Callithrix jacchus: one gene and its partners. The protein of the gene in region 2 purifies or fractionates together with the protein of the main gene of each other region. This does not show direct contact. Links are inferred from orthologs where the notes say so. Each region holds a gene or a part of one and is shown on either strand. Other genes may lie near its edges. The genes, in order: MARK2, UTRN, DTNB and DTNA.

Region 1 (7,255 bases), on a different chromosome or scaffold from region 2:
TGCCTGGCTCCCAGGGGGTCCGCTCTCTGCAGCCTGAACCACACTCCATACGTGGGTCCTTCCTTGCCTCCCTCCCTCCCAAACCATCTCCTTCCACTTCCACGAGACTTCCTTCTCACCAGTGTCCTCAGTAGTCACACCCTTCCTTCTGTGTCCTCGTGATGGCTGCCTCTGCCCTAGCATCCCCCTCCCTGTCCCCACCACAGGGTATCCAGGTGCCCAGTGATGATGGCTGTCCTGTACCCTAATGCGTCCCCCTCAACCCCACTTCTCTTCCCACAGCACAGCCCCCCAGCGTGTCCCTGTCGCCTCCCCCTCCGCCCACAACATCAGCAGCAGTGGCGGAGCCCCAGACCGAACTAATTTCCCCCGGGGTGTGTCCAGCCGAAGCACCTTCCACGCTGGGCAGCTCCGACAGGTGCGGGACCAGCAGAATTTGCCCTACGGTGTGACCCCAGCCTCTCCCTCTGGCCACAGCCAGGGCCGGCGGGGGGCCTCTGGGAGCATCTTCAGCAAGTTCACCTCCAAGTTTGTACGCAGGTAAGCACGGAACTTTGGGTGGCAGAGAGGCTCAGGCCAGGCCTTCCTCCTTGATTGGGTGGGGGTTGGGGTTGGGGTTTTGGACACTCTGTGCCTGTATTGGGTCTTGGGGTTAGAAGAGGCTTCAGGAAGCACAAGAAATTGGGTCTTTGTCAACTCCTTATGTGCCCATGCCCAGCCCCACCCCTCTTAGGCCTCTCCCCAACTCCCCACAGGCACCCCTCATTCTCTGGCCCCAAGCAGATGGCCGATGCCGCCTCCTCTCTAGGAGAGTGTGAACTCAGATGCTAAAATAAAAGCCCCCCCTCTCTCCTGGGTTCCCATGGAAACTTATATTTGGTGACGCAGCTGCAAAGTCATGAGGCATGAGCCAGGCTGGGGCCAGCAAGGAAAATTTTGTCCTGGTCTCTTGCCCCTTTGACCACCTCTCCCCCTAGTTGGTTCTGTCTGACTGCAGGCCCAGGGATTCTTAGGGTGAAACCTATAAATGAAATCAGTGGCGAGGGCCCACAGTGGCCTCCTCCCCAACCTAACTCCTATGTGCCAAGGCTTTCCTCTGTTGGACCCAGGGTATGGTCTCTTCAGGGGGTTTCTCATACCTGAGCACCCAACCCCCACAGAGGGGCGGCTTAAAGTACATCCAGCCATGTGGCTGGCCTCCTGAGATGCTCCACGTCCCCATCCCACCCATTCTACTCCCCACCTTGGAGTAGCAACTCAAGAAGCAGCAGGGGCCTGAGAGAGCAGGCGTGCTGCCCTTCCCCTACGTTTCACTCCACTCCGCTGGAGCCAAAGCCACTGCCCAGCCCAAGCCCCAGAATGCAGGTGTGAGGCTGCAGAGAGGGAGGGCAGGTCTGGAGGCCTGGGGCTCTAGTCCTGGTCCAAGCCCCAGAATGCAGGTGTGAGGCTGCAGAGAGGGAAGGCAGGTCTGGAGGCCTGGGGCTCTAGTCTCGCTGAGCGGCTCTTCCAAAATGGGATGACCCATGAACCTGTAAAGCCCACTCCCCACCTGCTTATCCACATACCGTCTTGTTGGTTTTTTTTTTTATTTCTCTTTTTATTTTGTCTTTTTTTTGTTTGTTTTTTTTAGAAATCTGTCTTTCAGGTTTGCCAGAAGGTAGGCGTTGAGCCCGCTGTGTGTGTGTGTGTGTGTGTGTGTGTGTGTGTGTCTGTGTGTGTGTGTCTGTGTCTGTGTCCTGTGTCTTGCCTCCATCACTAACTCCCCTTTTCTGGCTCTTACTCTCCTCCATCTGCTTAATCAAGTCTGTGTGGCCCTCCTCTCTCTGCCATCTTAAAGGGATGAAGACTCCCTCTGAGTGGGCATCGGCACAGGGCCTGCCCTCCATGCGCCCAAGTGCAAACAGGCAGGGCTAAGAGGCCACGTTGCCCTACTCTGAGCAAATAGGCTTTTAAAATGAGGGGCCTTCCTTGGGCCCACAGTTACGCCTGTCCTCAAGTCAGAGGAGACCATCTCAGGGAAGCCTCCCTTTAAGATTGTCTCCTCTCACCCACCCCACCCCCACTCCCCCTCACCCCAGGTTTTGGTCACAAGTGTTGGGATCCTTTTCTGGCTCCTTCCCTGTCATGTGCATGCGCTGTGAGGAAGCTCCAGGGTTACGAGCGCATCTGGGATGCTTTCACCTTTGTTGTCTTCTGGGCTTCCTGAACTTCAGAGCTGTGTGACCTCTTCCCCGTGGCCTGTGGGATGGCAGGACTTTGGAGACACTACAGGGACCCTGGGGCCCCAAGGTTTCAACTGTGACTCCTCCAGACCTAAGGAGCTTTTGTCACAAATGGAGCACAGCACCCCCTCCTGGCAGCTCCTGCAGACCTAGGCCCCCTCACCCACACCCCTGCCCCAGCACCTCTGCCACCAGCAGCATCTAGATAAATCAAGCCTCTTCTCCTGTAGGCTGTTTTGTGGAGATATGGCCTGTCCCTTCCAAAGTGCCAGGAGCTGGAACATTCTAGGGCAGGGGCCATTCTACCCCAAGCCCTAGCAAAACAGCTGGCAATCTCTGCACCCTCACTGTGGGTCTCCCTTCACGGGCCCCATCCTGGCCCTTTCCGCGCTGGCCTTATGCTCATCCTTTCTGCAGGCCTCAGGGGCCAAATACCAAGCTGAAAACCAGGGGTCAGGTTGAGAGTGCGGGTTCCCCAGTGCTGTCTGCTCAGGCCCTGCACTGGGGCTGGACACCTGGCAGGCACATTGGCGCCACTGCTGACAGAGGAACTGTCCAGACAGGGTCTTCAGGCTTTCCCCATCCCCTCCTCCTCCCACCCAGCTCTTGACTGCATGGCTGGCTGCTGCCTCAAGGAGCCCAGCAGGGGGCTGCCCCACAGGGGGTCTGGAGAGAGCAGGGAGGTGCCTTCCTCGCACAGCGGGGCTCTCTGCTCGCAGTGCGCTTGTGTGCACCCCCGTGTTGGTTGTGTCTTCCTGTTTATTTCTATGTGCTGCTGCTGCTCTTTCTCCCTCCAATCACATCCCCCCTCCTCAGCAATCCCCAATTTCCTAGCTCCAGACACCCATCTTTCAGCCAGGAGCTGGAGAAGCCGCTCAGCGGGGCCAGACCTCTTCCCCACCCACTCCCCCAAGGTGTCTGCCCTGCCCCGCCCGCCCCATCCTCCCTGTTTATGAGCAGATGGCCTGGCAGGCCGGCAGGTAGGGGAGTTGGGAAAGGTTGGAGGAGGCGGCGTTTTGCACTCAGCAGCTGGCATCCACCATGCAGACCCAGGCCGTGGCGCTTTGAGCCTCGGGACGGAGGCCTCTGCGTAGCCCCGGCCCCTCCCCCACAGAGATCCAAAGCATTGTAGCCCCTTTTCTCCAAAAGGACTGCAGTCCTGAGACCCTAGCGTGTGGCTCCAAAAACCCACTCACACCCACAACCCCTAGAACAGCGCATGAGCCCTGGCTGTGGGGGAGCAGCCTCGTGCCGGGCCGTGTGCTCAGTGTGCTCAGCGCGAGTTTGTGCACAGCCACGCCCCCTCCTCCCCCAGAGCAGAGGCTCCTTCTCCCTGGCACCTGGTAGAGATCTGGGAGTGTGGGGAGGGACAGGCCCATGTGCTGGGCTCCCTGCTGGAAAGGAATAGTGGAGCCACCAGTGTGAGGTGCTGCAGAGCCCTGCTGGCCTGCCGGGAGATGGGCAGAGGGCCCTGGGCTCGGATCCTGCCCACCCACTAGTGGCACCTCCCCAGACCCACTCTCATCTGGGTCTGTGGTGGTGGAAGGAGCGAGAGAGCTCAGCACTAAACTCTCCCTCGCTCTGTTTTTTGAGGAACCTGAATGAACCTGAAAGCAAAGACCGAGTGGAGACGCTCAGGTGAGAGGGCTGGAGCCAGCACTGGCCCTGCCCGGGCCACCGGGCTTGCCACAAGCCTCCTGCTCCTCTCTTCCTTCTGCCACTTGGCTCTTCCTCCCGTGGTTCTGCCCTGTCCCTACCCTCTGGGGCCTCCCTTTCCTCAGAGAGTTTCCCCTTCCCAAACCCAGTTGCAGGAGTTATGGGCCCTTCTCAGGTCTGGTATATTCTGTGAGTCTTGAGTTCTGGGTCGGGTGGTCGGGTCTACAGATTCCTACCCCTGGACTACTGCCCTCCTCTTCCTGTCCCTGGACTACTACTCCCGCACCCCCACACTGCTTCCTACCCCTGAACTCCTCCTCCCTCCCCATCGTCCCCTCCACCTGGTGCTCTGAGGCTCCTTTCTAGAGAGGCAGCCTATGCTCGGCTATTGAGGGCACTGGTGTCTTCCCTAACCCGGCTCCCTGCTCAAGGCTGGCTTCTCCTCCCCTTCGCTGTCCTGAGAGATGGGGATGGAGGACGGCCTCCCTCTGCCCCCTGGGGCCGGGCTGCACCTCGCTGCTCCTGCTCCCTCTCGCTCTCCCCTCTGGTCTCAGGGGCTGTCTGCCAGGGTGGCTCTGTGGGGGTTGGGTGCCTTAGCCCCCCCACCGCCACCATGACGCCTGCCTCTGCCCTCTCCACAGACCTCACGTGGTGGGCAGTGGAGGCAACGACAAAGAAAAGGAAGAATTTCGGGAGGCCAAGCCTCGCTCCCTCCGCTTCACGTGGAGTATGAAGACCACGAGCTCCATGGAGCCCAACGAGATGATGCGGGAGATCCGCAAGGTGCTGGACGCGAACAGCTGCCAGAGCGAGCTGCACGAGAAGTACATGCTGCTGTGCATGCACGGCACGCCGGGCCATGAGGACTTCGTGCAGTGGGAGATGGAGGTGTGCAAACTGCCGCGGCTCTCGCTCAACGGGGTTCGATTTAAGCGGATATCGGGCACCTCCATGGCCTTCAAAAACATTGCCTCCAAAATAGCCAACGAGCTGAAGCTTTAACAGGCTGCCAGGAGCGGGGGCGGCGGGGGCGGGCCAGCTGGACGTGCTGCCGGGCCGCCGCGCCGCCCCACCCCACCTGGGTGAGACTGCAGCGATGGATTGGTGTGTCTCCCCTGCTGGCACTTCTCCCCTCCCTGGCCCTTCTCAGTTTTCTTTTCCATGTTTGTGGGGGGTGGGAGATGGTTCTCCACACCCCCCACATTCAGCCCTGCCCAGAGATTCCCCCTTCCCCTCTCCCCCACTGGAGGCAAAGGAAGGGGAGGGTGGATGGGGGGGGCAGGGCTCCCCCTCGGTACTGCGGTTGCACAGAGTATTTCGCCTAAACCAAGAAATTTTTTATTACCAAAAAGAAAAAAGAAAAAAAAAATCCCAGCGGCCACCTTTCCTCCCTGCCCCATTGGGACAGTCGAGACTGGATCTGTGGGGTTTCCCGGGAGGGTGGCTCAGGGCTGGAACACTCTCAGGCAAGAGTGGTGGAGCTCCCGTCAGGCCCTCCGCCAGGCCCACTGTGGGCTTCTCCCCTCTCCTCCCTCCTTCCCCTCCAAGCAAACCACCAGAGGTGGCCTTCCCCTGACCTCAGGCCCCTGGGCTGGAGGCCTGGGCAGCGGGGCGGGGTGGGGCGGGGGTGCTGCGCAGCCCTGCAGTGGGTGGGGCTGGGGGCTGCTCCGGGCTGCTGAGGCTGGAGGGCCAGCTTGAGGCTCCGCCTCCCTCCACACTGTACCCTCTGCCCCTCCTTCCCAGAGCTGGGCATTTCCTTCCACAAGCTGCTGTGGGGACGTGTGTTCCCTCCTCAAAGTCTGTGCCATCTTCTCCCACCCCTCCCGGGTAGAAGGAGGGGCTGACCCCAGGGCTGGGAGAGGGGAGGGGACTGCAGGGCAGATTGGCTCCTCTGTCCCCAGGGGGCCGCTTGGGCTCTTGGTCTCCAGAGCCAGGCCGCTGGGCACTGTGTGATGGGGGAGCCTTTGTCTGAAAGCACAGCCCCCTCACCCTTCCTCTCCCCATTGGCTTCCCCTTCATTGGCATTAATCTGGGCACCAGCTCTCTCCATAGCAGTGACTTCCCTCACCACTCTCATCTCTCAGCCTTGCCTTTTCTTCCTGACACTGTCGCCCCTCCTCTCAGGAGACACTGCCCAGGGCCACCTGGCAGAAGGCTGGGTTGGGCAGCAGGGCCGGGAGCATCTGCCCTCCACCGGGTGGGGGACAGATAGGCAAAGCGACTCCCAGCTTGCTACCCTCAGTGGCCGGCGTGGGCGTGGGCATGGGCGGTTTTGGGCGCTGGGCTGGTGGTGGCCACTGCATCCCTTAATTTATTTCTCTGCTGTTTCTGTTCTTGAGAAATTGGGGGAGGGAGTCCTATGCAGAGGCTGCCCCTACCCTCACCTGAGTTGTACATTTTTTTTGTGATGGGTTTTATTTTTTATTTTATTATTTTATTATTATTTTTTTTTGATTTATGATGACTCCACCCCTCTTCATCACCCCCGCTCCCAGGCCAGGCTCAGCGATTAAGTCGAGCCCTTGGGTCCTAGGAAGGGGCCTCGCCAACCTCAGCCCTCCTGCCCCACACTCCTACTGCGGCTCAGACCAAGGGCTCCCCTCCCTCCCTTCCCCCCTCCTGCCCTATGGAACAGCCCGGGTGCTCTGAGGGGGCCGGGAGGGCATGGCTTGGCTCCCAAAGGGGGTAGGGGCCTGGGGCACCCAGGCAAGGTGGCCCCTCCCCATCTAACCCCCTCCTCCCCAACCCTGCACTTAGTTTCTCCTCTGGATCAAACACGTAATAAAGAGAATGTTTGGAATCTGAGCTGCCTCCTCCTGTTTCTTCTCCCAGCCAGGCAGGGACCCAGTCCCCTGTGGGCAAGATGTGGCCCAGCCGCCTGCCTTGCAGGAGACCAGCTCCCCACCCACCCTCAGGGCACAGACAGGAAGCAAAGCCCAGGGCCCTTGCACCAAAAGGGAAAGAAAACTCACTCAATAAGCTTAGGAGGTTTTATTTTTTATTTAATTTTTTAAAAATGTTGAAAAATAAATCCAAGTCTGCATAAGTTCCCAACCCCCATTTCTCCAAGCTTCTGGAAGGCGGTCCTGGTGGGTACCCTCAGCTCCTTAGCACTTCCCAGCTGACCCCTGAAGACAGAGCTTCCCTTCCAGCCTCTGCTGCTGTAAGGCCCCTCTGCCCACCTCCCCACTGCAGCCTCCCTCCCCACCTCACCCCAGACTTATTGCTAAAAGAACGGAAAGAGGAATGAGGACAGCCAGCACACCCAACTGTCCTCTCTCCACCCCCATGCTAAGGTCACTACCCCCCACACAGAAAGGGCAGGGCCCAGAGGCCAAGCCCCAACAGACTAGGAGGCAGCCATTCCAGTCCCGGCC
Region 2 (7,584 bases):
TCCAAAAGCGAACGAGCCCCGGAGGCATCCAGTGAAGTTCTTTCTCCTAAACTTGCCACTCAAATAACTTCCTCTTGTAATAAGGGATTATGAATTTATAAATGTATCTATTCCCTACACAACCCCCGGGTACCTGCTCTGGAAACCTTAGAGGGGAATGAGTGATCAAAACCAACATAGCAAGAATAGTGTAACTCCAGTTTTGATAAAATGTGGCTCTCTTCTTATATAGACAGGTCTTCATGAATTTAGAAAAATATTGGGAAGGCTACCCTGCAAACTTTTACATCAGTTAGCTCTGAGTGGGAACTGGGTGGGGCCCAGGGGATTTCAATTTTCTATGAAATTATTTTTTTAAAAATTTTACTATCTGGAGCAATTTTTTCCTTCTGTTCAAAAAACAAAATTTTTTGTTTTTCAATGGAGTTTCACTCTTGTTGCCCAGGCTGGAGGGCAGTGGCGTGGTCTAGACTCACTGCAACCTTCATCTCCTGGGTTCAACTGATTCTCCTTCCTCAGCCTCCTAAGTAGCTGGGATTACAGCCGCCTGCCACCACCCTGGCTAATTTTTGTATTTTTAGTAGAGATGGGATTTCACCATGTTGACCAGACTGGTCTCAAACTCCTGACCTCAGGTGATCTGCCCGCTTCAGCCTCCCAAAATGCTGGGACTACAGTTGTAGAGCCACTGCACCTGGCCTCCAAAAAAACAAACTAAATAATGTTTCTCTCCTGTTTTTCCTACTAATTATATAGTTGTATTTTTGACATTTAAATGAGATCATGGAATTTATTTTAAGGTAAAGGATGAGGCTACTAATTATATAGTTGTATTTTTGACATTTAAATGAGATCGTGGAATTTATCTTAAGGTGAAGGGTGAGGCAGCCTCTTGCCCACTCCTCTTTGCTCCCCACCTCTCCCCAATTGGTCTGACATGATTTTTTGGATTATTTTATTTTATTTTTTTATTTGAAGTTTCAACTCCAACAGTTTCTGAATTCCTACATCCAAATGACATTATTGGTGATTAAAGAGAATGCGTAGCACTAGAGATATCATGTGTGAAATGGCTTTTCATCTGATTTAAACTTTTCACGCTTTAGGAGGTCTGGTCTTGTTGGATTGAGCTGCTTCACTATCTGGATCTTGAAACCACCTGGTTAAACACTTTGGAAGAGCGGATGAAGAACACAGAGGTCCTGCCTGAGAAGATGGACGCTGTCAACGAAGCCCTAGAGGTTGGAGCCTTTGCTCTCCATGGCTTTTCTCTGTTGTGATGCGGCCACATTTGTATTAAAATGGGGAACGTGATGTTTATGCGGGCAAATGCATTTGCTTCTTCAGTCATATTCAGTGTCACTTGCATTTTTCTTCCAGAGCCTGAAGTGTTTATGCCTTCATGTGTATTTAAATTACTGGTGACCCACTACGTCAGCCTCATGATGCGGTTAGGTGTTTGACAGTTGGCACATTTTCCACATGTTGAAGCACTCTAGTGGTTTTCCAGTTTATATTGCTAGGCCCTGGACAGAGCTCTGCCAAGGTTACTAGAGTAGCTCTTCTCTTGTTTCGTCAACAGGTTGTTTTTACTCACGAAGCACAGCCATGACTGTTTACAGGGGCTTCCTATTACCTTCAGATGTTAGAAGTTGAAAGACATTGGTTGAGTCATGGGGTCTTGTCATAGGAGCTTGTCATCAAGCCTGGACTTTCAACTCCTTGAGGCCGAGAATGTACCTGATACTTTGTTATTCCTCAGTTCCCAGCACAGTGTGTAGCACATGTTAACTTAATAAGCGTTTCTTAAATGAAATACAATGCAAAGAGGGTAGGTTTGCTTAACACACACACAGAAGGGAAGAGGGTAGATATGCTGTACCATGTGGGAAATGAGTGGACAACTGGATTGAAGGTCAGAAAGGAGTGAAATGTGGCACTGACGTCCTAGGAGCTGGATGCTGTGCTAGAGAAAAGATGCCACTTCTCAAATATAGCAGAGTGAGAGACAGAGTGAATGAAAACTGTGAAAAGCTTAATTTTTTTCCTAATATGACAGTGAATACATGTACATTCTAGAAATATGGAAAATAAAGTATAAAGCAAACTCTTAAGAGAAACATTTTTAAACAGTTTGTAGATTTCTTCCTAATTATTATCTTTTATGTATGAGTGCTAGAAAGTGATACACTGTATCAAAGGCTTTGAGGTCTTTTCTTTACTTCTTTATTTATTTATTTTTTATTTGAGATGGAATCTCGCTATGTTGCCCAGGCTAAAGTGCAGTGGCATGATCTCGGCTCACTGGAACCTCGCCTCCTGAGTTTAAGCAATTCTCATGCGTCAGCCTCCTGAGTAGCTGAGATCACAGGCGTGTGCCACCACCCTAGCTAATTTTGTATTTTTAGTAGAGATGGGTTTTTTTTTTTTTAACCCGGTCGGCCAGGCTGGTCTAGAACTCCTGACGTCAGGTGATCCACCTGCCTTGGCTTCCCAAAGTGCTAGGATTGTAGGTGTGAGCCATTGTGCTTGGCCAGCCTTCACGGTCTTAAAGGCTTTAGAGCCATGTTGGAATCTCAGCTCTTCTTTTGACTTTGTGTATGTTGCCAACTTATTTAACATTTCTGAGCTTCAGTTTTCCCATCTGTAAACTGGGAATGTGATTTAGCTGATGTGGTTAATTAGATTTATGTATATAAAAAGTGTATATATAAAATAGTGCCTCTTATTTGGCATATATTGTAGGAAAATGAATACTTATTTTCAGTAATATAATTAATAAAAGTTGAGATAATTTTGCTTGTATAGCATTGTTCTCTGCCTTTAAACTGTGTCATATCATGAGCATTTCCCCATATAATTAATAGTTATTTTCATGTTTTGTTATTCATTCATTTATGTATTGTTCAGAGACATAGTTTCACCCTGTTGCCCAGGCTGGAGTGCAGTGGTATGATCAGAGCTCACTGCAGCCTTGAACTTCTGGGCTCAAATGATATTCCTGCCTTACCCTCCCATAATTAAAAATAATTGAAATTATTTTTGTGGAATTATATCATCATATATCACTTGTGCAAATCTCTCAATTTTATGCATTTTTTAATACCATGATGAATATTTTTGTGAATTAGTAATTTACTTAATTTTTGGTCCTATTCCTTAGGTAGATTTTTAGAAAATGGAATTAGTTGTTTAAGAATTAGACATTTTGGGGATCCTTGATACCTTTGGCCTTAGTAAATGCACTATTTTTTTCCCCATTTTTGGTCCAGTCTCTGGAATCTGTTCTGCGCCACCCGGCAGATAATCGCACCCAGATTCGAGAGCTTGGCCAGACTCTGATTGATGGAGGGATCCTGGATGATATAATCAGTGAGAAACTGGAGGCTTTCAATAGCCGATACGAAGAGCTGAGTCACCTGGTAAGAGTCGGGACATGCATGCGTGTTGATTAGGTACTGATGAAGTGGAGCTGGCCCTGAGCTCCATATCATAGAGCTTTAATGTTGGAAAAATCTTTAATGTTGGTTAAAGTTGGTAACCAATGCCAACAGGGGCATTGAGAGTACTGAAGTACTCAGGAGCGGAGAATAGATCTAACACTTTAAGAAAGGCAGAGCTTGATGATTAAAAAAATTATTTTTGATATTACTTCTACATATTCTTATTACACTTTGAGAAAGAACACTTCTTTTACAGGAAGATTGGGTATGAATATTAGGTGCTTCCAAACACATATTAAATAATAACTGTTGGTGTTTAGTCAATGAATAACATCAAGCTTAACCCCAAAGTACAGTACATAGTAGTTTGATATGTACGTACACCTGTAGAATTTGTTTTACACTTTAGAAAAATAGACTCTGATGTTTGCTGTATTTACAGACATTTTTCTTATTTATTTATTTATTTTTTGAGACGGAGTTTCGCTCTTGTTACCCGGGCTGGAGTGCAATGGCGCGATCTCAGCTCACCGCAACCTCTGCCTCCTGGGTTCAGGCAATTCTCCTGCCTCAGCCTCCTGAGTAGCTGGGATTACAGGCACGCGCCACCATGCCCAGCTAATTTTTGTATTTTGAGTAGAGACGGGGTTTCAATATGTTGACCAGGATAGTCTCAATCTCTTGACCTCATGATCCACCCGCCTCGGCCTCCCAAAGTGCTGGGATTACAGGCATGAGCCACCGCGCCCGGCCTTTTCTTATGTTTTATATTCTTATTGGTAGACATTGATGACTCCTAAAAATTCCTTAAAATTATAATAAATAACAAATTTTTGTCTTCTGTTTAATGCATCTTATGTGAAACTTTACATTTTTGTATTTCGTCATTATATATAGAAAGAAGTAATAATTAGTAATTCAGCTGAATGGTACATAAGATCCCAGTAGGACATTTTCACTGTTGTCATTAGTAATTATTATTTATTTATAGGAAGGGTAAAGTCTTGAACAAAAGCTTTTATAGTCTTTTCTTAGTGGCCAGAACATATATATTCAGCTATTTATATTTGCACTGAGCAACTAATGATTCAATTTCTCCTCTGCAGGCAGAGAGCAAGCAGATTTCTTTGGAAAAGCAACTCCAGGTCCTGCGGGAAACTGACCACATGCTTCAAGTCTTACAAGAGAGCTTGGGGGAGCTGGACAAACAGCTCACCACGTACCTAACTGACAGGATAGATGCTTTCCAAGTTCCACAGGAAGCTCAGGTATTGCTATGAATTTGAAGGCTTTCAAGATGTAAACAGAGCATATGCAATTGCCTCTCCAACTATAATAAAATCCCTCTTGCCATCCAAAACCGAGAGTCAGTGGGAAAGATTGACCTTACTTATGGGGCAGCATTTAGGTTTTGAAGTTCTCTCGCTTTCTATGTGAGACTCTCTCAAAAGTTCTATATATTTTATTTTGTTATTTATTTGAGATGGAGTCTCACTCCATCACCCAGGCGCAGTGGTGCGATCTCAGCTCATTGCAACCTCTGCTTCTGGGTTCAAGTGATTCTCCTGCCTTAGCCTCTAGAGTAACTGGGACTATAAGCATGTGCCACCAAGCCTGGCTAATTTTTTGTATTTTTAGTAGAGACAGGGTTTCACCATGTTGGCCAGGCTAGTCCCAAACTCCTGACCTCAGGTGATCTGCCTTGCTCTGCCTCCCAAAGTGCTGTGATTGCAGTTGTGAGCCATTGTGCCGTTGAAAAGTCCTGTATATTTTGAATAGTAGTTTTCTTCGCTACGAAGTTGGGACAATTCCTTCCTTATAAATAAGTTGTGAACATTAGAAATGACAAGTGTAAGGACCTTAGCATGTGCATCACACACAATAGTCATATTATGCAGTGCTGTATTATCATACAAAACTTATTAAAGCTTCTATGGAGGTCAACATTATGTAAAATACAACATTATGTACTACACAACAATATAGAACTTTTGTATTGCTTCTTTTTATACTTAAGAAAAAAAGGACATTGTTTCCCCTTTCCAATCTCTTTGTAGAAAATTCAAGCAGAGATCTCAGCCCGTGAGCTAACCCTAGAGGAGCTGAGAAGAAATATGCGTTCTCAGCCCCCGACCTCCCCAGAGAGCAGGTCTGCCAGAGGAGGAAGTCAGATGGACGTGCTACAGGTAAGGAGGGCGAGGAGCTTCCATTTACTTTTCAGCACGTTGGGAATTTTTTTAAAAGAGAAAGAATTGGTTACTCGGGCACCCTTGGTGCCCTTATGATGTAAATTGTGGAATGGGAGTGATGTCTTGAAGGTGCATTGCATCCTAGGGCAGCAGAAACAAATTGTTGCAAGGGGGGGAAATGTTAAATCTGATTTTTATAGTTGAGTTGAGAAATAAGAGAGTGAGCCGTATTTCGAGGTTACCTTTATATAGTCTTTTTCTTTAATGCAGAGCCTCTGTCAGCATCTTGTGGCTGATGCTGTGGGCAGGCTGAGCATGAATTGGATGCAACATCATTTAGTTCTTTCATGGTTGATGTGACATTGACTTTCACTCTGAACTTCCGATGAAGGGCATTTTGAGCAGAACTGTCCTTTAGAACATGAAGTTTTATTTCCAGTGAGGCCAGCTTTATCTAAATTTCTTATCCAAATCTACTGACTCCTGAGAGTGAGACAGAGTATTGAGTAACTTTTGACACTGGGTTATGCAGTTCACTTAGGCGATTGGGTAACCTCACCGAGTTCTATTAGGATTTTTATTGTTGTTATATTACTGCTTTTGTGTGTGTGTGTGCTTATGGTACAGATTTTGAGTAGAATGCGTTATGCTCATGATGAGAGAGATAATCATTCTGATAATTGCATATTTTTATTTCTGCAAACAGAGGAAACTCCGAGAAGTATCCACAAAGTTCCAGCTTTTCCAGAAGCCTGCTAACTTTGAGCAGCGCATGCTGGACTGCAAGCGTGTGTTGGATGGTGTGAAAGCAGAACTTCATGTTCTGGATGTGAAGGATGTAGACCCTGACGTCATACAGACCCACCTGGACAAGTGTATGGTGAGGCTGTTGGGTGATTGACACATCCAGTGGCTTTTTCAGCAGCTGTTATGGCTTAGTCTAGTGCTTACATGCCTAGTGTGTCCAATGAGCACTATTCTAGAATGTGCTAAACATAAGGATTGATGATGAAAAACCTGTTAAAAAATAAGAAGTGTGGTCTTTCCCTCCAAGGAAATTAGAAGAGATAAGAGAGATAGCTAAGGAAACTAGAATAGACATGTATATAATATGATGTCAAACAAAAACCAAAATGAAAGAAACACATCTCAATCATAGTGTGAAGTTAGGAAGGCTTCAGCAGAATGTGACTAATAAGCAAAGTTTTCAAGGATAATTTTGAGTTAGCTAAAAGAACCATACTTAGAATGGATATCAGATATATTATAGCATAAAATTCAATTTTCTAGTAAAGTAAAATTTTAAATAGAAATATAAACCTAAGATAGGAAAGAAGAAATTATATATAAGGCCTTATGACTTTTGTAGTCTTGAACTTTGTAATTCAATTGAATAGAAATTTAAAAATAATGTAGCTAAGGGGACACAATCTTATAATTAGTGTTCTGCTTGAGAATCACAGAACTTAAGCTGAGACTCTTTAGGGCAGGAGAAATACAGGGACATTTCTATGTGCCTTTCAAAACAAAGGGTAAATTTCAATATATATGTGCATGTATATAAGTATGTATTTCATTATCGTGACACAATGGTAATCAGGGCAAGTGCTGTCTTTGACTTCATGGAACACAGTTTAGGGGTCTGTTGCGTGATAGTGTCCCATGAGATGTTAAGATGATGATGTATGGTGTCAAGAGAAGCTGTAAAGCTTTTTGGTTTCAAGTAACTAGGATGAAGACATCTCTGAATTTGACCTACAGAATTCCAATTTATTTTTTCTTCTTTTATATTTAAATTTATTTAACTTTAAATTTTTGAAGAATTTTAGATTAAGGAAGTACCTGTGCACATTTGATACGTGGATGTATTGTATGATGCTGAAGTTTGGGTTTCAACAGAACCCATCACCCAAACAAACATAGTACCCACTCAGTAGTTTTTCAGCTCATGC
Region 3 (8,330 bases), on a different chromosome or scaffold from region 2:
GTTTGACATCAGCCTGACCAACATGGAGAAACCCCATCTCCACTAAAAATACAAAATTAGCCAGGTGCGGTGGTGCATTTGTGCAATCCCAGCTTTTCGGGAGGCTGAGCAGAATTGCTTGAAGCCGGGAGGCAGAGGTTGCCATGAGCCGAGATTGCTCCATTGCACGCCAGCCTGGGCAACAAGAGTGAAACTTCATCTCAAAAAAAAAAATCGCCCTATTGCAAAATGGGCAAGATATTTGATGAGACATTTCTTCAAAGAAGGTATACAGAAGGCCAAGAGGCACACAGAAAGATGCTTGACTCGATGAACTATTGGGGATATGCAAATCAAAAACACAATGAGATACCACTTCGTGCCCCAGGTGACAATGTTATTGGGCAATAAAAAAAAAGAATGGCGAGCTACCACATGGATAAATCCGGAAAACATTACACGCTAAGTGAGAGAGGCCAGTCACTGAAGACCACGTATGATTCCATTTTGTTTTATTTGTTTCTTTTTTTGAGATGGAGTCCTGGACTGTCGCCCGGGCTGGAGTGCAATGGCACAATCTCAGCTCACTGTAAGCTCCGCCTCCCAGGTTCACATGATTCTCCTGCCTCAGCCTCCTAAGTAGCTGGAATTACAGGCGCACACTAACATGCCCAGCTAATTTTTGTATTTTTTTAAGTAGAGATGGGATTTCACTATGTTGGCCAGACTGGTCTCAAACTCAGGACCTCATGATCTGCCCGCCTCAGCCTCTCAAAGTGCAGGAATTACAGGCATGAGCCACTGCCCAGCCTGATTCCATTTTATGAAATGTCCAGAATAGGCAAATCCACAGAGACAGAAAGGATGTCAGTCGATGCGTGGGGCTGGAAAGGCGGGAGGGAGTGACGAGAAGCCGCCAGTGGGCATGGGATTGCTTTTGGAAGAGATGAGAATGTTCCAAAGTTGATCGTGGTGATGGTTGCACAACTCTTGTTAATATACTAAATACTATTTAATTGTAAACTTTACATAGGTGAATTATACAGTTTGGAAATTATATCTAACAAAGTTGTTTTTTTTTTCACTGTTTGTTGTTGTTGCTGTTTCAGACAGGGTCTTAGTCTGCTGTCATGCTGGACTACAGTGTCACCCAGCTCACTGCAGCCTTGCCCTTCCAGGCTGAAGCCATCCTCCCACTTCAGCCTCTCTCACAAGTAGCTGGGACCACAGGCTTGCACTGTTGCACCCAGCTAATTTTTTTACTTTTTTTTGCAGGAACAAATGTTGTCTAAGCTGGTCTTGAACTGCTGGGCTCAAGTGATCTTCCTGCCTTGGTCTCCCAGAGTGCTGGGATTACAGGTATGTGCCACTGCACCCAGCCAGCTGTTTCCATCAAAAAAATAAAACTATGAAACCCTCCTCAAAGACGCATATGTATACTTGAACAAGACATCACTTGGTTTTGTTTAAAATATCTCAACCTTGTTAACAGTTCTCCTTATGTTAATTTATAAATTTAATATGATTCTCCCAAAATATAAACCAATTCTTTTCTGTAGCTATACAAGTTGATACCAAAGTTTATGTGGAAAAATAAACACTCAAGGATAACTAGTAAGACACAGAAAAGAAAGAGATATGAGAGGAGACTAGCCCTAGCAAATATTAAAACATGCTATAGAGCTTTCTGAATGAAAACAGTGTGGTTCTGTTTAATTTGATTTCATAGGCAAATCAATGAAATCAAATAGAAACTTCAGAAATTAACTTACTGCTTATGAAAATCCAGTAGACAATACACAGTCAAATGACTGAGGCAAAGATGGGCTTTTTAATAAATGGTGTTGGGAGGCAGGGCACGACGGCTCATGCCTGTAATCCCAGCACTTTGGGAGGTTGAGGCAGGCGGATCACTTCAGGTCAGGAGTTTGAGACCAACCTGGCCAACATGGTGAAACTCTGTCTCTATTAAAAACTACAAAAATTATCTGGGTATGGTGGTTTGCACCCGTAACCCCAGCCGCTCAGGAGGCCGAGGCAGGAGAATTGCTTGAACTCCAGAGGCAGAGGTTGCAGTGAGCTGAGATCACTGCCATTGCACTCCAGCCTGGGAAACAGAGCAAGACTCTTGTCTCAAAAAAAAAAATAGTGCTGGGGCAATCGAATATTTGTACTCTGTTGGTGAGATTATGGAAACACACATTGCTGTAAGAAATGAAAAATAGTATAGCCCTTATGGAGAAGCATTTGGTAAGATTTAAAGAAACGATTTGTACATTTACATTTCAACCTAGCACTCCCACTTCTAGGAATTTATGCTAAAGATACCTCCGAAATACATAGGCATGCTTACATATGTAAGTTTCTTCATTGCACCATAATTTGCAAAAATATTTGTATTTGCATGGGAAACTAACTAAACACCCAAACGTAAAAGATTGATTGACTACACTATGGTTCTTAAATACAATGGGGTATTAGGAGGCTGTCAAAAGAAATTCAGAAGATCTTTACTGACTGATACATAGTCATTACCAAGATATATGATTGGGTTTTTTTGTTGTGTTTTTTTTGTTGTTGTTTTGTTTTGAGACAGGGTCTTGCTCTGTAATCCAGGCTGGAGTGCAGTGGCGCAATCATATCTCACTGCAACCTGGACCTCCCCAGGCTCAGGTAATCTTCCCACCTGAGCCTCCCGAGCAGCTGAGACTACAGGTACATGCCTCTATGCCCAGCTAATTTTTGTATTTTTTTGTAGAGACAGGGTTTCACCATGTTTCCCAGGCTCAGAAATCTCAATTCTTAGAACTTATTTTATTAAAACATTCAGTTATGTGTAATTAAATGTATGCAATAGAATATCTTACCAGAGTTATTTCTCAAAACCAAAATTTAAAAAAATACTTACAGAGCTCTGATTAAATTATGAGATAGAAGAGTCCCAAATCACTAAAATAACACTGTAAAAGAACGTTTTAGATGATATAAAATGGTATATGTAGTATGGCTCAAATTTTGTTTAAAATATGTTTGAGAGACCAGGCATCGTGGCTCATGCCTGTAATCCCAGCAATTTGGGAGGCTGAGTCAGTTGAATCACCTGAGGTCAGGAGTTCCACAGCAGCCTGGCCAACATGGTAAAACCCTGTTTCTACTAAAAATACAAAAAAAAAGCTAAGAATTAGCTGGGCGTGGTGGTGCATGCCTGTAGTCCCAGCTACTTGGGAGGCTGAGGTAGGAGAATTGCTTGAAACCCAAAGGCGGAGGTTGCGGTGAGCTGAGATCCATCATGGCACTCCAGCCTGGGCAACAGAGCAAGACTCTGACTCAAAGTAAAAAAAATGTGGGAGACAACACAATAGAAAAAGGAGCAAGCATTCTATGGAAGAGAAAACACATGGTCAATAAACATAGAAAAAGATCCTCCATTTCATTCGCATTCAGGAAAATGCAAATTAATACTACAACGTTGTACACCTACTAGCATGGCAAGTTTTAAAGTTTCACAATTCCAAATGTTGGAAAAAAGGCTAATCAATTGGAAACTCCTATACAGTAATGGTGAGAGTATAAATTGGTACAACCATTTTGCCAATATTTAACAGGTTGAAATTCTACCTACCTTATATCCAGCTATTCAACCCCAAAGATACTCTTCATGCATGCACCAAGGGGAATGTGCAATCACTGCACTGTCCTTAGTACTTTTTTTTTTTGGAGGCAGAGTCTCGCTCTGTCACCCAGGCTGGAGTGAAGTGGCATAATCTTGGCTCACTGCAACCTCTGCCTCCCAGGTTCAAGCAATTCTCATGCCTCAGCATCCAGGGTAGCTGGGATCACAAGCGTGCATGAGCACGCCCAACTAATTTTTGTATGTCATAGAGACAGGGTTTCACCATGTTGCCCAGGCTGGTCTCGAACTCATGAGCTCAGGCAATCTGCCTGCCTTAGCCTCCCAAAGTGCTGGGATTACAGGCATGAGCCACCACTCCCAGCCTGTTCTTGAGACTTATGAAAACAATCCAAATGGCCAGCAAGAGAAAAATGAATGTATAAATGTGTATATCTCCACAGTGGAAATATTAAACAGCAGCAAAAATAAAAGAACATTTGCATAACACAGCATGGATAAATTGAACCAACATTTTTCTTCGTGAAAAAAGCAGGAAACATATGACTCATAGCATGTTACCATTTTTACAAAGCTGAAAATCAAATAAACACAAACAATTTCTAAAATTACTTTAATAAGGCAAGGGGAAAAAAAATAAGGCAAGGGAATGATACTCCCACCCCATGAGAGGAAGTGGGAGACTAAGGGGTGCACTTAGGTAAATGACAATTACTGCCATTGTTTATAATGTTTTGATTCTTGTGGGGGGAGTGTAATGTTACATATATTCTTTGAATATATCAAATATAATATTTATCAAAGATAAAGGGAAAAAGTGTGTGTTTACTGTGTTCCTTGAATAAGACTGGATGAATATAAACCAAAATATTTGAAGAAGTTATCTCTGGGTAATAGGATTAAGAATTATTTTAATTTTCTTTGCATTTGTTTGTATTTTCAAACTGTCTTAAATGAACATGTACTTTTTTGGAGGCAGGAAGAAAAATATTTTTTAAAATCTGTGCTAGAACCTGTTCTATTTTCATTCCACAGTCTGAACATCCAAGTCTTAATTACCATAGTGATAAATGATCTGGGGAAGAGATGCGTGGTGGAATCGCCAAGGTCATGTGCCAGGTAGTGAGTGAGCTGAGAGTGGCAGGGAGGAGGCTACAGAAGGATGTGAGCGAGCTGCGTGGGAGGGCAGACACCTGCCCTCCGAGTGTCAGTGTGAGCAGGAGGAAGGTAATAACAGCTGAAGGAAAACAATTTAATGAACCTGAAAACCATTCCTTAAAGTTGTAAATAAAATCCACTGTCCAGCCTGCTCTGGCTTCTAGCTTCCTTCTCCCACCTCCACCCCCATCCCACCAAAAAAACCAAGAACGTGCAGATAGCAATACTCAAAACAAAACATCATAATCGCATCTTTGTATCAAATTATTATACATTGACACCATAATGTGTGTCTCGTTCTGTTCTCTGCCATTTACAGATGGCGTGATAGGACTGGAAGGGGTCCAGGAGAGAGTAATTCAAATGATTAGCAGAAAGAAGGTCCTTCACAGGAGGCAAACAAAAACCAAAATCCATCCTTCAGGGGATGGTGATAGCTTGGCTGCCAAAGGTCCGCACAGTCAGGACACAGACAATGTTGCCGAATCTCACAGTCCCAGCAGTACGGGGTAGCGCGCCATCTGTGTTGACAGAGGCAGATTTGGAAGAAATGAATAGGAACTGCTATTTTGCATGGCAAATAACAATGTGGAAATCCTTACCCCCAGAGGCTGAAGCCTGAGTCCTCGGTCTTGGCCAAATGTGGAATGAAGCTGGCACAGAAAACCAGCTCGAACACCTCTGAGTGGGATTCGGAGGGCGGGGAAGAGAGGCAGCGCTAATGGTGGTGTTGATCTTTACTCTCTGTATCATCCTGTGGATTATGAGAGCCTGTGACAAATTGCATGAAAAACCTTTCAAGACAAAGCTTTCTAAGATTTATCTCGGGAACAGCAGTTGTATTCTTCAATAAAACTGTCCTTAGGTGTCAAGCTGAAATTTGGACTGGCTTGGATAGCTAGCGAGACTTCTGTCATATTTTCCAGGTGCTGGGATTACAGGGGTGATTAGCTATCATTCTGCCATACCATGCAAAGCTCACGAGGCAGGAGGCTTGATGGCACCCCAAAAGATCCCAAGAATTACCCCAAGAAGGCAATCCAGAGGCTAGAGTGTCCGAGGAAGAGTGTCCTACAGGTTTTGTTAGTTTATCAAAGGCTTGTTTATTTATGTAGTGTTGTCAAACACCTGAAAATGTCAACAAATTCTATGTTGACAAAACATTCTAAACTGGCTCAAGGGTAATTCAAGCTGTTCTCACATACCTGTCACCTGGTATGCTTTTGAGAAAATATACCTGCACCCAAAATTCATCTAGATGAACTAATCTTTTTTTTCCAGCCTGTTACCCAGGCTGGAGTGCAATGGCGCGATCTCAGCTCCCAGCAACCTCCGCCTCCTGGGTTCAAGAAATTCTCCTGCCTCAGCCTCCTGAGTAGCTGGAACTACAGGCTAATGCCACCATGCCCGGCTCATTTTTGTATTTTTAGTAGAGACAGGGTTTTACCATGTGAAACCCTGGATCGAGACCAGGATGGTCTCGATCTCTTGACCTCGTGATCCACCTGCCTCAGTCTCCCAAAGCGCTGAGATTCTAGGCGTGAGCCATCACGCCTGGCGGAACTAATTTTTTTTAAGAGACAGAGTCTTGCTCATTGCAGCCTCAAACTCTTAGGCTCAGGAGATCCTCTGGCCTCAGCCTCCCAAAGCACTAGGACCAGGCATGAGCCACTGCACCTGGGCTGAATTTTTTTAAGTGACCCCAAGTGATATAATGCGTAGCCAGGGTCGAGGAGCACTGAGCTTCTCCCATTTGTTAAAGTTAATCATTTGAAGGGTTTCTGGCTGTACAAAGAGTGCAAAGGGCGCTGGAAACTAGCTGGGATAGAAGTAGAGACCATTCCGCCGGCTCGGCGTGCAAGGTCTGAAATACGTCCAGGGTGCCCCTGCATGGTCGTGGGTGAGGGAAGGGAGGCTCAGCTGCTTTATTTTTTATTTTTATGTATTTATTTATTTTTGAGATGAGTCTTGCTCTGTTGCCCGAGCTGGAGTGCAGAGGCATAGTCTTGGCTCGCTGCAACCTCCGCCTCCCAGGTTCAAGTGATTCTCCTGCTTCAGCCTCCCAAGCAGCTGGGATTACAGGCATGCACCACCATGCCCAGCTAATTTTTGCATTTTTAGTGAAGATGAGGTTTCATCATGTTGGCCAGGCTGGTCTTGAACTCCTGGCCTCAAATGATCTGCCCGCCTCAGCCTCCCAAAGTGCTGGGATTCTAGGTGTGAGCCACCACATCCAGCCTCAGCTGCTTTAGATTTCAGCATGTACCAGACAGCCTTGGGCAGCATTAGGGTATGTTTCCATGGTCCCTGTTATCATGTGAGGAAGGAAAGAGAAGTGAGATACACATCCCCTTCCTCTCCCAGGCCCCTTCCATGCCATCTCTCTAGAACTGGAGAGAAGAAGGCATGAGGCCAGCGGGACCCAGGCACAGGAAAGAGCTTTCCAGTTGTGGATGCTGAGCTGCTCCATCTATCTCTCGTTTCACCTTCTTAGCTTCTCAACATTTGCTCACTTCCTCATGCAGGGTTCACCTGTCCTGCTGTGTGCCTCGCACATTTGTGTGCTGACTCAGCATTTCGGAACTCAGCCTCTACACAATTCAGCCACTCTTTTGGTTCCACATGACTGATTTTTGTAGGGCCTGAATCATTACCTTTTTTTTAATTTTTTTTGAGATGGAGTTTCGCATTTGTCACCCAGGCTGGAATGCAATGGCGCAATCTCCTCTCACTGCAACCTATGCCTCCTGGGTTCAAGTGATTCTCCTGCCTCAGCCCTGCCGAGTAGCTGGGATTAGAAGTGTGTGCCACCACACCTGACTAGTTTTGTAATTTTTAATAGAGACAGGGTTTTAGCATTTGGTCAGTCTGTTCTCTTGACCTAAGGTGATCCGCCCACCTCTGCCTCCCAAAGTGCTGGGATTACAGGTGTGAGCCACCATGCACAGCCAGGCCTGGGCTTTCTGATTGGGCCCTACAGGATCTGCACCTGGCTGCAGTGCAGGTGTTAGTTGTGATGATGATGAACAAGCTTTTTCTGCTTGTAGACATAGCTGAAACCATATTTCTGCCAGCCAACAGCTTTTCATGACTTTTCAGAAGCCTGGAACAGTCAGAGACCCAGGGAGATTCGGAACCTGTGCAGCACTTTGGGTATCTATTGAGAAACACCAAGGAGGAACCCCTCACACAAACAGCAGTGCAGTGTGTTGCTAGTACTCTTTCGCAAGCAGTTCCTATTGAATGAATGTCTGCCCCATACTAGCCTATGAAATAGAAGATAGGAAAGACCTGGCAACTTCTGCTTAAAGAAGTTTAAAGGTCAGGCATGGTGGCTTATACCTGCAATCCCGGCACTTTGAGATGCTCAGCTGGTAGGATCCCTTGAGGCCAGGAGTTTGAGGCCAGCCTGGGCAACATGATAAACCCTGTCTCTGCAAAATAAATGTAAAAATAAATTAGCCTGATGTGGTTGCATGCACCTACAGTCCCAGCTACTTGGGAGGCTGAGGTAGGAGGATCACTTGAGCCCAGGAGTTTGAGGTTGCCATGAGCTATGACT
Region 4 (8,380 bases), on a different chromosome or scaffold from region 2:
CTGCCTCAGCCTCTCAAAGTGCTGGGATTACAGGCATGAGCCACCGTGCTCGGCCTTAAATTCTTACATTAATTAATGATCAAAAAACCTTTAGCTGTTAAAGATAGTTTCCTGATCGTTTGAAATGCCAATATAGGTACTCTTGTACTTTTGATTTAAAAAATTTTAATAGTTTGAAATGTTGCTCAATTTACCATTTTTGAACTAAAAAATACATAACATAATGAAACATTTCTCATAATCTGTTAGTCATTTGGTTTTATCTAGGCATTAATATACCTTCATGTTTTATACATTTTTCACCTATAAAATATGGGGCAAAAAGTATTCATATAAAGGAAGGTCTATTTTTCCACTACTTTTTAAAGAAAAAAATAATTGAAACATGAGATTAGGAGGTATTACGATTTTCAACAGCAACGGAAATGTAATGCAGCCATAGTTTCTGAGCCAGATGTTATACATCAATAGTTAATAGCATGAATTAAGGAATCAGAACACTTTGTTTTAAAGACCATCTCTAACTATATGACAGTGGTCAGGGTTACTTTCCTCCTTGTGTTTCAGTTTTTCCTTCTATAAAATGGAGATAATGACATGTAAACCTCATGTGGCTTTTGTGAAGAATACATCATTTAATTTATATATAGACCACAGAATGATGCTCAGTACACAGTATGTGTTCAGTAAATTTAGTCACTATTATGTTTGCTTGAACTCGTTAATATGAATTTCCCCAGCATCTTCAACATTCAATATCATCTTCATTACTATGGAACCTCTTCTCTTCTTTTGGGTAGTTCAGACAATATCAGGGACTGTGTGACAAATCAATTAAAGTTCTATTTTGAGACATCCTGGCACTTTGAGAACAACAACAACAAATAAACCCTCCCAAACTGAAAGTTTGAAAGTAGTTGCCAAGGAAAAGAAATAAAATAACTATGTTCCATTAAACCTAAATAACTCTTTGCAAATAGGCAACTAACCACATAAAGGTAGCACATGCTCCATGTGCTTTTAAAAAAAGTACTGACAGTTTTGTAAATCTCCCCTTGTCCATGGGTGGATAATGAGGGGAAATAGTATGTCTCCTAGTGAACAGAGAAGTAAAGAGATAATCAGAGTGACATACATCTCTGATTCAGAACATAATTCAGAAAATTAACATGCAAGCATTTAGGAAAAGATTACTGTGCTTAGTAAACACCTTCTCATATGTCATTGTTCCACAAATATGTAAATATGTGACTTTTCAGGCATCTTGTCCTGACCTCCATGTCTAGTCCAGTAACCTTCAATACATATTCTCATAGAATTCCTCCTTTCATTCAGGTAATTTACCTCAACTTGCAAGTAATCATTTATCGGCATGATTATTTTATTAAAGCTTGTTCCCCTTGTGCAGTCAGAACTCACAGATCTTTCTGCTCAGTATTGAACCCCACTTCTGCACCCCACACCTGGAAAAGAGAGGCTCTGTAGAAGCAGAGATGGTGCAATTATTTCAAACTAGAGGTGTCGGACTTGAAAGGAAAAGGTCATGTCAAAACTACCAAGTGAGATAAAAGTAGCAAGCTGTTTCTAAAATAAGTAACAGAAGCTAGAAAACTGGAACACTGAGTTAAGAAAGGCTATATGTATGTACCACAGGATTTACGTTTTAATAACAATCAACACTATATATAAATAGACTTGGAAAAATCAAATTCAATTTCAGTATCAAAAACACTTGTGCCTGATGGCATACAACCACTCTGACCACAGGACTGCACTCTAGCATCCCAAAATAAAGATGTAGCCATAATTCTGGAGTGTGGGTGTCTGTGTGAGTGTGTGTGTGTGTGTGTGTGTGTGTGTGTGTTTGTTTGTTGTGGGGAGAGGTTGGTTAACCATTGAAGAGCCGAATATTTTTTCTCATATCCACAGATCATGTTTCCGTGCCATTTAGTTGGATTCTAGTCTCTTTTTACTTATAATGTTAAGTGTGAGTTTGAAATTATATATATTGAATTTAATTAAAGTAAAAGATGAGAATTAAAGGAAATCTATGAATGTCAAAATAATTTTGAAACTCGTTATGTGAAGAAGCAATTAAAATTTACTTGTAAAAAAAAAACAGATGAAGACTTAAGAGAGACATCTGCCCAATAAAATGAATACTGTGAAAGCTCTATGATAAGCTCAAATGAAGAGTAATTCTCTAAATATGTGAGAGTAATTCTCTAAGTAAGTTGGAGCTCACCCCATTGAGACCTTTCTTCACATCATGGTTCATTTAAAGCAAGTGGAGATTTTTAAAGTATTTCAACTTAGAACTAATGAGAAAATTTGATTTCAGTCTTCATTGCGACACAATTCTGTATAAACTACATACAATTGGCTAACTGACATGACAGACTCAAATGCCCTTAAAATACAGCTTGCTTTTCATCACTGATAGTTGAAAGAGAATTGCATAATTCTTTTAGAACTGCCCAACTCTCGTCAGAGTGACTGGATTAAATATAATTAAACTTGCTCAAAAATCTGCAAGATGGTGTTCTGAAGTAAACGAAGGCCATGATTTGAACAAAGAATAGACTAATAACCTAGGAAACTTAAAATTAAGTGCAAACAAACATATAGTCTTAACCATCCGCTTTATAATAATTTACTTTGCTGATACATCTTAACCGTTGAAAATCTCAACTCTGCATGAAATGCAACTTTAATTATTGAAGGAAACTTGGTTAATTATAGTGAAAAGAAACTGCTCAAATGTCATTTGCCATAATTTTAGTATTGAAAGTTAGAGTAAGAGGAAAATGTAGAAAAAGAGTTAATTGATCTGAACATGCAGCACATCGCTATAAAACTCACCTTCCTAGAAAGATATGGTCGATATAGAAGACGTTAGGTACAACGAGTTGATTAGGAACGCACAAAAAGCCCAACTAGACTCTGACACTCAATAAATGTATGACCTTGGGTAAGTTATTTTACCTCTCTGTGCCTGGATTTTCTCACCTGCAGAAGTTGTTTAATAACATTACCTACTCCTTTGGTTTTGTAAGAATTAAGACAGCGAATAAATCTAAACCATATAGAACTGTGGACCATGTGGCAAGAACTTTTTCCCTAAAGTTCTACCTTTAGAATAAGCAAAAGAAAAAAAACTATTTTTTAAAGAAATCAATAATTGTGTACATTTCAACAACACAAGTATCTCTTAAGTTCAAAAGAAAACACAAACACTTGAAATGCCAAGTGATAATGACAGATAACAGGAAAACATAAACATCAACTCAAACGACAATTTTTTTAGTCTAAGAATGAAACTAAAACATAGTAAGCTTCACTGCAAGTGTACATCCAATATTTGCACCCCCCCCACCCCGCCATCCCCCACAGCCAAGTTCTACAGTTATTTTCCCAAAGCCATACCCCAAGGCTGCCAAACAGCAAAGTTTTATCATCAAGTCCCAGGAGCGGTACCACTGAGTCCTAGCCCCGCTGTTGCCACCCCTCTTCTCTCTTTGGCTTTGGTCTTTTGACAGACACCCCTCTCCACCTCCTACTCTGGATACCAGAACGAACCTCCCGCCTGCCCTCGGTCCAGCAAAAAACTTCGAAGTGGGCAACAGGCTATAAAAGCCAAAGACAGTCACCCCCGTGCCCACCTGCCTCCGCCGCCCCCGTCCCCGGAGCCAGGAGCCCACTCCCACTCAGGCATCCGCCCGGACACCGCAGTGCATTGCAACATGCCAGGACGCCGCTTGCTGCAAGGGAACCCCTCGCGGATGTCCCGGTCAATACCCTAAAGACTATTCCCCGACGTGAGTGTCATCCCTAATGGAGGCAGACACGCCACCTCCCACCAGCTCAGCCCCGCGTGGATGACCGAGAGGACAGCGACCACAACAAAAACCACTCAACCCGCGACGCGAGGGAGCCGGCTGCCATCGCCACCCCGGGAGCGGCGCCGCGGCGGCAGCTGGGGCTGCGGCGCCGCCGGGGCCTTCGCGGGCGGCGGCGATTTACCTGCGCGGCCCCGCGCCCCCAGGCCGGACATCCTGCAGCAGCCGCTACCGCCGCCCCGCGGGCCCGAGGCGCCGCCCGCCGCCCGGGGAGGCGCCGCGCCGCAGTCCTGGCTGCGGCGCCCGGCACATGCTTCGCGCTAGCCGCGGCCGGCGCCGGCGCACAGGTGGGAACCCCGCGAGTGGGCGTTGAGGCGAATCCCTGCCCCCGCCGGCGCTCTCCGCCCGCTTCCACTCTTGACTTTCCTCGGTGTGCGGCGCCTGCCCTTGCTCCAGCGCCGAGCCGCCTCTGCCCGCGCCCCGGCGCCGTGGGCGGCTGCGGTCCCTGCGCAGCCGGGGCTGCGCGTCATGTGCACCTCCCGCTCCGCGGCAACGGGCGGCCAGGGGCAGCGCGCGGCAGCTCGGCCTGGCGCCCACTCCTCGCCCGGCACACGGACCCCCTCCACCCCCGCGCCCTCCCCGACTCCAGAGCTGTCAAGGAAGAAAACGCCGTGCACACACCTTGGAATGGACGGGCGCTCCAGTCACCGACTCGCCAAACTCTTAGAAGGTGTCCATTGGTCTGCAGGGAGGTTTGAGCCTGGAGTAGGAGCCGCTTTCTTATTATTTAATAATGTTGGAAGTGCCGGGTCCGCTGCCAGAGTTGTGGGTCATGTGGGCACAGCAGAGGCTGGCTGCTGCCAGTACCAGGGTTTCCTGAGGATCCTGAAACTATGATCTCATCCTCCTCATCCGCCTCCCCCGCCCCTCTCTCCGCGGGCGCGCACGCACAGCACACACACACACACACACACACACACACACTCACACTGAATGCACTATCCTCCTTCCTGGAACGAAATATTCCTCTAGAGAAATAGTGGGCACGCTCGTCATTGAAAAAAAAAATATTTCAAGATAGAGATTTGTCTCTTCCAAAGCTTGATTTATGTGCTTTGTTTATTTCCTACAGTTTTCCCTCACACGTGCAGGAGGTCGGAACAGAGCCTCAGAATTAAAATTAAAAATAATTATTCTCTTACGTTGACCCAGATTTTGGTCGGAACCCAAGAACTCAAAACAGTACAATTTCAATTTAAAACAGAGGCAAAATATACCAGTCTTGAATATAGAATATTCTTAGATGTGTGCAGTGGGTTTCTTTCCCAAGCTGCAAACATTCCCCAAACATTACCTCATTTATTTGCAGAGCATCTTTGCAGAGGAGGTGGATGAAAAGGCAAATAGTAAGTATTGTCACTTCAGAGATGCAGAGGCATAAGTAAGATAACATGACCTATCCAAGTACACATAATAAGTCAATATCTCACTATAAATATTAATTGCACAGATACTCACAGGTTGCTTATTCACTATAACCAATTTCCAGATACTTAGGTTACTGAAAATACATTCTTGATTGTTTTTAAGTTGCCAATTAAAATTGAAAATTATTTTATCTTACTATATGTGTGTCTTGATATAGTTTTCTCTTGTATTATATTTCCATTTCCACGTTTTCATATAATTTTCTTTCTTTTGGGGGGAATGTGTTGTGTGTATGCACACATTTATATCCAGTTGCATTGTTTAAATCCTTAGATCATAATTTCAAGCAATTTTAGCCAATGTTTTTGAAGTAGTCACCAATTTCATAATGATTTAACTATGCCATTCAAACACCTTTCACCTGGTGTATGTGAAGAGCTACACTACATTTTGAAGGATACAGAGAAGTTTAATACAAGTACCTGTCTTCTAAGTTTACTTCTAGTTATTGAGACAAGATACATATACTAAATGACTGCAGATTAAAACCTTTGTTATTTTGGTGCTGTGAGTTATCACAAAGAAAATAAAGATACGCTTAATTTTTGTTCCATGTTAAAATCATTTCATTTGCCTCTGTGCCCTATATTTCAGTCTGCCATTAACCCTCCTACCTTTTGAAGGGCCAAGGTAATTATGTCTAGTTTGCTCTTCTCTTACACTTGCACCGTAACAGTACATAACTGTACATAAACAGTAAATGGGGATTGTTTTATATTGTAAAAGTTCTCAGAAAGAACACTTTTGGGTAGCTTCTGCTCAGGTGTAGATAAGAAGCTCCAGCAGCCTTCTAATAAACTAGCCTTCCAATAACCCAAAAAGAAGAGAAATAGTGTGAGAGAAAGACTGATCAGAAAAAAGGCAGAAGAGAAAGCAGTCAAGGGAGGGGAGAAAGGAGGGGGAATGAAGTTACAAGATAAGAAAATAGAGAAGGAAACAAAAGGAGAAGAAAAAGAGGATCAACTTTTGCTGCATGGAAAATTTAGGAAATTGTAGACTTTCTTACTGTTAGTAAACCAAGGACACCAGGTGTCAGTTCTGCAGAGGATGTGCTGACTGATCTCAATTTTTTTAAAAAAGTAAAGGATCCACTAGAAGAAATAAGTAGACTGACCTATCAGTATAATGTAATAGTAAACATGACGATGGGATGAAATAGCCATGGTATGTACATTTTTAAGAAGAAACTAACACCGAAATTCAGGGAGACAGATGGGAAAGCAAAGTCACTGGTATAGTAAAGTAGGTAATGAAGAGATAGGCTTGCAATATTTAAAGAACAAAATAATAATAATATATTTTGATTTTTGCGATCTTTTCATACATTTTTATGGAGTCTAAGAATAATCAGAAGTAGGCACCTTAATGGACTTCTTTTTTATGACAGAGTCTCACTCTGTTGCCCAGGCTAGAGTGCAGTGGAACGATCTCAGCTCACTGCAACCTCCACCTCCCAGGTTCAAGCAATTCTTCTGCCTCAGCCACCTAAGTAAGTGAGATTACAGGTGCGTGCCATAACACCTGGCTAGTTTTTGTATTTTTAGTAGAGACAGGGTTTCGCCCTTTGGTCAGGCTGGTCTCGAACTCCTGACCTGGTGATCTGCCTGCCTCAGCCTCCCAAAGTGCTGGGATTACAGGCGTGAGCCACCACACCCAGCCGGGACTTCATTTTTTTAGAGTGTGATAATTTTTCCTAATTTTCTATAATACATGTTGAATGGAGAAATATTGAAAATTTTCACTCATTGTTTTGAAACTATTATTTATAGTTTCAGATATGTCAACTCTAAATATTGCTCAGTATATCTTCTTCCAATACTTCTCCTAAACAATAGGTCTAGATATATTTCTGGGCATAGATCATAACAGTGATTTATAATCCCGGATTTTACACAGGCTATCGGAGTTAAACTAGATGCTTTAGTACGTGGCAGACTCTAATGGCTTTGCCACATTTCTGGGAGATTTCTGCAAAAGAGGTGGAGGGTTAAATTGAACAGCGATGTATCAAGAGCACTTTTCTTTTGATCTGCATACTCATAGCAGGATTTGTTTTGATTAGAGGTATATTTAGGTTTGATGGTTATAACGTGTTTCAGAAATGCATTACAATTTCAGTGACTCAACAATCACTAGCAGTTTGTGTCAGAATACCTTCATGTAGGGAAAAATATTTTTAATGTGGTTATGCACAAACATTTATGGTTTGTACTAATTTAAGCTATCATTATCAAGGAAAGGGCATTCCTGATGTTTATTGTTTTGCTCTTATAATTTCTTGCTTTTTAAAATTATCATTGATCTGATAATGGCTGTAAGTAAAATCAGAATGTTCACTATAGTATATTAATAGTAAACTATGTGTGTACCTATGTTTTAATGTGTAATGATATATAGAGAATATATGGGCTTTCGATCAAATGGGGATAGTTACTATTATCTATGAGCTGTTAATAGTTTGGGGGCATAAGGCATTAAAAATTTTGGAATATTTAAATGACTCATATAACAAAAGTAAAAAGAAGATAGATTCAAAAGAGTTGAAAACTAAACGCATTGCTATTTTTCCAATTAGAAACTCTTATGCGCCTTCAATGTAGACTGTCTCAGGGAAGAATGAGGTCTTGAAAAACACAAAATGTATATAAATTTTGCTTCCCCAACCAGCTGGTTAGCTTTCAAGAATGAGAAGTGTGTTAGCAGTTCCACACTGATCAAGAAAATGGATCAACTGAGCTGTGGCTTGGGGAATTAACGGTTAGATTTTTTTTTCATTGTGAGCACTACCGCATTATGAGGCTAAGGTGGGCCCTAGGCAGAATTATGAAGTAGGTGAATTTTGTCTCACTCAATTTTTTTTCCCAATGTCTCCTTTTTCCTGAAGAAGCCCTGACTGCACCTGGGCAGTCTAAGAGAGCAAAGGTAGTCTTCCTTTCACCCCAACTATGCTGTCTCCTTAGCTAGACTGAAGCCCCCTGCACATGGGCAGGACCTCTGAGCTCAGCAGTCGCTGGCAGTGCCTATTATGGTACTCTGTTGTAATGTCTCCTCTG

What was found.
Region 1: the proteins of UTRN (region 2) and MARK2 purify together in Homo sapiens (affinity purification with mass spectrometry; 4 studies listed by BioGRID and IntAct, with this or other methods). This does not show direct contact. The link is inferred for Callithrix jacchus from reciprocal best matches to the Homo sapiens genes UTRN and MARK2.
Region 3: the proteins of UTRN (region 2) and DTNB purify together in Homo sapiens (affinity purification with mass spectrometry; 3 studies listed by BioGRID and IntAct, with this or other methods). This does not show direct contact. The link is inferred for Callithrix jacchus from reciprocal best matches to the Homo sapiens genes UTRN and DTNB.
Region 4: the proteins of UTRN (region 2) and DTNA purify together in Homo sapiens (affinity purification with mass spectrometry; 3 studies listed by BioGRID and IntAct, with this or other methods). This does not show direct contact. The link is inferred for Callithrix jacchus from reciprocal best matches to the Homo sapiens genes UTRN and DTNA.

The regions. Positions count from the first base shown.
Region 1 is NC_133511.1:120,952,720-120,959,974, forward strand, and holds the end of MARK2 (serine/threonine-protein kinase MARK2), read left to right. Parts: intron 1-282; coding exon 283-540; intron 541-1,630; coding exon 1,631-1,657; intron 1,658-3,815; coding exon 3,816-3,860; intron 3,861-4,519; coding exon 4,520-4,880; 3' UTR 4,881-6,683; downstream 6,684-7,255. UniProt on the Homo sapiens protein: Serine/threonine-protein kinase. Involved in cell polarity and microtubule dynamics regulation. Phosphorylates CRTC2/TORC2, DCX, HDAC7, KIF13B, MAP2, MAP4 and RAB11FIP2. Phosphorylates the microtubule-associated protein MAPT/TAU.
Region 2 is NC_133505.1:151,251,149-151,258,732, forward strand, and holds part of UTRN (utrophin), read left to right. Parts: intron 1-1,106; coding exon 1,107-1,241; intron 1,242-3,272; coding exon 3,273-3,422; intron 3,423-4,549; coding exon 4,550-4,711; intron 4,712-5,500; coding exon 5,501-5,629; intron 5,630-6,338; coding exon 6,339-6,512; intron 6,513-7,584.
Region 3 is NC_133515.1:89,525,845-89,534,174, reverse strand, and holds the start of DTNB (dystrobrevin beta), read right to left. Parts: upstream 5,418-8,330; 5' UTR 5,371-5,417; intron 1-5,370.
Region 4 is NC_133514.1:77,574,258-77,582,637, reverse strand, and holds the start of DTNA (dystrobrevin alpha), read right to left. Parts: upstream 4,311-8,380; 5' UTR 4,024-4,310; intron 1-4,023. UniProt on the Homo sapiens protein: May be involved in the formation and stability of synapses as well as being involved in the clustering of nicotinic acetylcholine receptors.